2 linked regions of the Callithrix jacchus genome follow. The protein of the gene in region 2 purifies or fractionates together with the protein of the main gene of each other region. This does not show direct contact. Links are inferred from orthologs where the notes say so. Each region holds a gene or a part of one and is shown on either strand. Other genes may lie near its edges.

Region 1 (2,738 bases), on a different chromosome or scaffold from region 2:
ACTGAATTGATGTCTAATGTTTGCCACATTCATTCTAAAGTAGATTAAGAGGCTGAGACTCCTTGGCTCAGGGAGGCAGACAGTTGGGACTACTACTGCTTTTCCTGTTTGTTCTTAACATATTAACACTAAATAAATCATTTTCTTTTCCTTTTTAAAAAACTTTGATGAGAACATGCTTCTTTAGGATAGTGTTCCTAAGTTACTATCCTAAATTACTATAAATTACTCGTAGCTCAAAAGCCACTCACATTATGTACAGTCAAGACTGCCAGCTTTTTCAAAGAAAGGAAGGAACTTTCCATCCCAATATTATAGTACTTTTTTATATGGGATTTTAATTAGTACTTTGAAATCTTACAATTATTTGTGACCTAATCACAGTCTCAGCTAGCTTTTTGGACTTGATCCTACAGAATTGTTCTCTTCAATATCTTATGATGCATAATCCCCATGTGCATTCATGATTTGAGTGCATTTTTGAGTTGATCAAAATATTTTGTTTGATCAAAATACAATATTTGAGGCTCATCCTTTATGTTGAATATTTTTCAGGCAATTAAATTGTAATTATTCAGTGATGATGCATCCTATATTTTACTTCGTATCACTAAAATTTCCATTCATTTTACAGTCAACTCTAAAGTGAACTTTTCTGTTTTATTACAATAATTTTGCTTTTACTTTTCTCCTCTATTGTAGAAGAATTTGTTTTACTTTTAGCACTTTCAAGTATATGCTTGGATAGGGCAACATTAGCTTTTTAACATTATGACAGATATATTTAAGTCTACTTAGGTAAATAGTGTGTGATCTTTTTTTTTTTGAAATGGAGTCTTGCTCTGTTGCCCAGGCTGGAGTGCAGTGTTACCATTTTGGCTTACTGCAACCTCCGTCTCCCAGGTTCAAGCAATTCTTCTGCCTCAGCCTCCTGAGTAGCTGGGACTACAGGCCTGTTCCACCACGCCCGGCTAATTTTTGTATTTTTAGTAGAGGTGAGGTTTCACCATATTGGCCAGGCTGATCTTGAACTCCTGACCTCGTGAGCCACCATGCCTGGTTGTATGTGATGTTTTAAAAGCACAGTTCCCAGAGATTTACATTAAGAATAAAGTCATCATATCTTGCCTTTATATGGTAGCTTACTCAAGCTTTTATAAGAAAGGATATTCATTTTGCTTTTTACATAGTTTCAGAATGTTGAAAACCTTTTGTTAAATCTGAGTAATTTATTGCATTTTTCATTGTTAATTCAGCTTATTTAGATTTCTGGATCCAGTGCTTATTTGCTGTCACATATACCTAAAATGCTTTTAATATATGCCAAATTCTCTTCTTAGTTCTTTACATTTATGAACTTATTTAATTTTCACAACAACCCTGTGTGGAATTTCTATTATGATCTTCATTGTATATATGTAATGAAATGGAGGTAGAGAAAGAGTAAATAATTTGCCTAAGGTCACATAACTAATAAGTAATAGAGCAAGAATTCAGACTGTATATATATATTTGATACCTTGCTTACTTGATAACAATAGCAATTTTACAGTAAGCTGTTTTACAGTAGTTTGCAAATTTAGCTTTTTTGTAATTGTGGTTTCATTTTATGTTTCTTTCAACTTAGGAGTGTCATCTAATGGACCAGGTGAAATATTAAACAAAGAAGAAGTAAAAGTTGAAGGGTTACACATTAATGGACCAACAGGTGGAAATAAGAAACCACTTCATGGAGATATGGATACTAATGGTTATGAAACAGATAACCTTACCACTGACCCAAAACTTGCCCATATGACTGCAAGAAATGAAAACGATTTTGATGAAAAAAGTGAGAGACCTGCCAAAAGGCGAAGGGTAAACAGCAGTGGAAAAGAAAGTCCAGGTTCTTCTGAATTTTTCCAAGAAGCAGTCTCACATGGGAAATTTGAAGAACTTGAAAACACAGATGACTAAATTTTAGACCTATTTTACTTTCTTTGGAGTAAATTCTGGTGTGACTAAAATTTTCAGGGTTGATGGGTTACCTTAAAAAGTTGAATTTCTTGAAGCAGTTTGTTAAAATTTGGAAATTTGAATTGAGTCTTAACTTTAGGAAATGAGGTTTCATAATTCTGCCTTTTGCAGATTTTTTTTACTTTAAAGCTGTCAGACTCTTTTAAGGATATTTTAAAAATTAGTAAATTTGAGTGAACTAAAGATATATCTGCACCTTCTCATTTGATGTATTAATCATAAAATTTCACTACGAGGTAATTTTTGCTTAGTTTGATGGAGGAATGGGAAAAAACTCAAGTCCAAATTTCTGCTTAACACCAGTTTCTCTGAGTTTCTTGAAATGTCTTGTCTTTATAACAGACATTTTTCTTGCCATACAGTTTGAGTATCATTATTAAGGAAACCCTTATGAATCCTGAAAATTATGCTAGCATGATTTTTTTATATATAGAAGTTTAAAAATAAACCAGGTCAGGTTTGTATATGTAAAATTGTTGACATCAATGATGTCTTTCCATATTCTTATCTGGGCTTAAGAAATACATTCTGTATTTTTCCAGATTCTTTGTAGCCTTTGAAAGATTTTTACAGTACATATGTCTTGACTGAGCTGTCCTTTCTTAATACAAAAGCTTGTATAATTTTCTTAACTTGTACAGTTGGTAAACTTTTATGAGAGGAATTGTTATTCTGAGTCTGTCAGCTTTCATTTTATTTTGCTAAGGTTTTTCTAATGATTT
Region 2 (3,654 bases):
TCCTCCTCCTGGGGGAGACATGGGCAAATGAGCCTCCGGCTGGCACCCAAAACCTCGTCCCTGACTCTGGGGGCCATGCCCTGCTGCCCGCGCGTGCACCTTGCTATAGACGCAGCCGCCACGCTGCACCATGTAACGGGCCACCTCCAGGTGATTGTTCACCACGGCCTCCATCAGTGGCGTCCGCTGCTGTTTGTCCACTGCATTTATGTTGGCTCCAGCCTGTGAGGAGGGGGCAGGAGGGCTGGCACCAGGGAGGGATGGGGCAGGGGAGGGGTCTAAGGGCCTAGTCAATGAGGCATGGGCCCGTGCTGACCTGCAGCAGCACATGGCAGATCTCCACGGAGCCCTTCTGGGCGGCTGCATGCAGGGGTGTACGCTTGCTCTGCTGGTCGCTCTGGAAGTTGGGGTCCAGGTTGTCCACTGCGGGGAGAGCCCGCCACACCGGGAGAGGGAGGGACAAGTGGTAAGCAAGCTAGGGGGCAGGGGGCATTTCTTCAGGAAGGCTTCTCAGGCCCCAAGCTGGGTCAGGGCCCCTCCTGGCATTCTCTGAGCTTGCCTCCACCATGGCATTTATCAGAATAAGGAGTTAAAGGCATCAGCTCTGCGTGAATGCAAACCCTGCCTTGTCTCTCAGTACCACTGGGCACTGTGCAAGGTCCCTAACCTCTCTGTGCCAAGGCTAACAAGTGTAAGCACTCAGAACAGGATCTGGCACCTATGAGTCACCACTGTCCCCATCGTCGTGGGTTATATGTGTTTTTTCCCCACCACACTAAGTCCTTCAGGGCAAGGACTGTGTCCTGCATGACTCTCCTCCTGGCCGTGAGCCCAGTGCCTGGTATACACATGGAGCTTGGTCAAGGTCTGCTGAAGGAATGGGCGGCACTCACATAGCATCAGGATCACCTTCTGCAGCTCGCCCTGCTTTACGGACAGGTACAACTGCCGAGGGTGGAAACGGAGCTTCTTCCGCCTGCCAAGGGACATGGGAGTGGGGAGAAAACGGGGGCTCCTCAGATTCCAGCATCAGCCTCAACACATTTGCTCTGGACCCAGCCCCAGCTGCTGTGGCTGACCAACTCCCCACTCACCTCTCTGACTCCTGGATGACCAGGGCCTTTTCCAGGGCTTCCCGGCCTGGCCCCAGTGGCAGCCCCACTGCGGAAAGGCAGCCCCCATTGGGCAGGGTCAGGGAGGGTCCTGAGCTGTCGATGGTGTCGGCCAGGGGATCACAGGGTGGGCGCCGGGGCTCCCCATGGCCTCGCATCCGGGCACTGTGGAAGAAGGAGCTCATGTCCAGGAGCAATAGGGGTGGGGCAGGAACAGACAGTAGAGAAGCAGAAGGCCAGTACCTGGGCTGGGAAGTGTCCGCTCTCCCGGGGGCATCCTGGGACAGGGGTGGGGGTGCAGGAGCTGCAGTGCCGGCTGGAGGGGTCACCCCGTCACCCCGGGGGATGGTCACCTCCTGAGCCTCAGAAGCATCCTCCCCACAGTGGGGACAGAAGACCATCCCATTCAGCTGGGACACACAGGCCTTGTGGAAGCGGTGGGCCACGCGGAAGTCGGGGTGGCACTCTAGGAAGGTGCCCTGGAGCAGGGAAACGATGTGGTCAGGTTCCTGGGGCCCCCCTGTTATGGGGCATGCTACCAGATTATCCCAGTGGTCAGTCGCTCACCGCCGTGCAGAAGTAGCCACAGCCCGGGCAGCAGTGGTGTTTGACCATGCGGGCACGGTGGGTCTCACAGAGCACCATCAGGGCCACGCGGCTGGATGGCCTCATGGTCTCCCGCTTGAGGATGGCAGCGTTGCAGCCCGACAGCTGTGTACAGTGAGGATGAGTGAAAAGAGAGGGTGAGGATAGGGCCCAGGACTGGACGCCCTGGCACCTCTCCCACCAGCACACGGCCCCACCTCTCCGTCCACACTCTCCGTGGCCATACACTTATGCCCTGCCCTCTCGCTGATGCGGTCAATCTTGGGTGCCTCCATGCGGCAGCTGCACAGGGGCAACTCCTCAAACCCGCGCTCTGTCTCTAGTGAAGATGTGTCATTGGACACCCCTTGGACAGAGGAAAAGAGGAGCTGAGGGAGGCCCTGGACCTCACCCACTGGGACCCCTGGCGGGTCCTCTCATTCCCACCCTACCTCACCCCCCCATGCCCCAGAACCCCCAAAGCCTGGCCATGGACACCCCGGCTCTGGTGTGGTTTCCCTCCTCCCCTTTCCCTCCTGCCCTGAGGTCACCACCTAGTGGCTCCCTGTCCCAGCAATTGGCAATTACCAGCGTGGTTGGGGGAGAGGGTCCCCTCGCTGGGCAGCTCCAGGGACCCCAGAGGGACCTCCATGTACTCACTGGGGCCTGAGGAGCCCACACCATTCACTCCTGACACAGAGACAGAGAGAGTGAGAGTGCGAGCTCACAGGTATCTGGATGTGTGGGTACATGCAGGTGGACATGCGAGAGCGTGTGTGTGCGTGCACGCACTCTGGGGACTGGGTGGGGCTGGAGGAGGGCACCCAAAAGCAGCAGAGCCTCCTCACCTCGTGGCTCCTTGGCCCTTGGAGGCTCCCGCTTGCGCCGTTTCCGAGATGGCTTCACCCATGGGCTATCTTTTCGCCATTTCTTCTTGGCCTTGCGCCGGCCACTGGAACCACTCTGGGAAGGGGGAGGAGTAGTTAGGAACCCTCGCCCTCAGGGCTCCCCACAACACCTTCAGGACCAGACATCCGGCCCCACAGTCTCCCACTCCTCTGGTGATGTCAGCCTCCATCTCTTACCCTATCTGACTGATTCCCTGACTCCTCATCTTCCTCCTCTTCTTCCTCTTCCTCCTCTTCTTCCTCCTCTTCTTCTTCTTCCTCCTCTTCCTCCTCCTCCTCTTCACTTAGTTGTTCAGTTAGAGCTTCAACTTCCGACTGGGAGAGGCGGAACAGGACATATCCAACCCCCAGGACTCAGACAATGAGGTGGATAATGAAAACCACCACCACCATTGCCACCTCCCACTACCCATGATGGTTCCTGGAGAAGAGGAGTGTGGGGAGGAGAGGAGACAAAGGGCTACGTAAAGAGACGACGTGTGGAATGTTATACAGCAGTGAAAAAAGGTGCCACAGTTACAGACAGCTATGTGCACAGATCTTGGTAATAAACATTAAGTTAAAAAATAAAAAGCAAGGACCAGAAGATAAACATGAGGTTTAATACCCCTTTTATGATGGTCATAAACAGGTAAGACCACCAATGGTTGCTAAAACCGCTATACACAAAGTTCATGAGAAACTTTATATAAAAGGTTCAGACTGATGGCACCTGAACCCACTGGTCAATCTTATTGCTAACAAGAAAAATGACCAGATGCTCCATGCATCCTTATGTGATGCCGCCAGAAGCGCTCACATCCACTGTCAAGTCTTCTTGGCACCTGAAGTGATTATGCTTCTAAATCTATTGGTTTACAAGAAATATCGGCAGAGAGAATGTGTCAATCTCCACCCAATCAGCTAACTCCTAAATATGAGAAATTCTGTAGGACAACTGACCTGGTTTCTTCAACGGATAAATGGCAAGACATATATATATATATATATATATATATATATATATATACACACACATATATATATATATATATATATATATACATACA

What was found. Proteins that work in one complex are often made in the same cells at the same time.
Region 1: the proteins of EHMT2 (region 2) and MIER1 purify together in Homo sapiens (co-immunoprecipitation; 3 studies listed by BioGRID and IntAct, with this or other methods). This does not show direct contact. The link is inferred for Callithrix jacchus from reciprocal best matches to the Homo sapiens genes EHMT2 and MIER1.

Annotation. Positions count from the first base shown.
Region 1 is NC_133508.1:104,195,943-104,198,680, forward strand, and holds the end of MIER1 (mesoderm induction early response protein 1), read left to right. Parts: intron 1-1,627; coding exon 1,628-1,956; 3' UTR 1,957-2,199; downstream 2,200-2,738. UniProt on the Homo sapiens protein: Transcriptional repressor regulating the expression of a number of genes including SP1 target genes. Probably functions through recruitment of HDAC1 a histone deacetylase involved in chromatin silencing.
Region 2 is NC_133505.1:39,395,653-39,399,306, forward strand, and holds part of EHMT2 (histone-lysine N-methyltransferase EHMT2), read right to left. Parts: intron 2,921-3,654; coding exon 2,783-2,920; intron 2,661-2,782; coding exon 2,546-2,660; intron 2,388-2,545; coding exon 2,286-2,387; intron 2,065-2,285; coding exon 1,916-2,064; intron 1,824-1,915; coding exon 1,680-1,823; intron 1,592-1,679; coding exon 1,356-1,591; intron 1,278-1,355; coding exon 1,095-1,277; intron 977-1,094; coding exon 894-976; intron 424-893; coding exon 317-423; intron 223-316; coding exon 100-222; intron 9-99; coding exon 1-8. UniProt on the Homo sapiens protein: Histone methyltransferase that specifically mono- and dimethylates 'Lys-9' of histone H3 (H3K9me1 and H3K9me2, respectively) in euchromatin.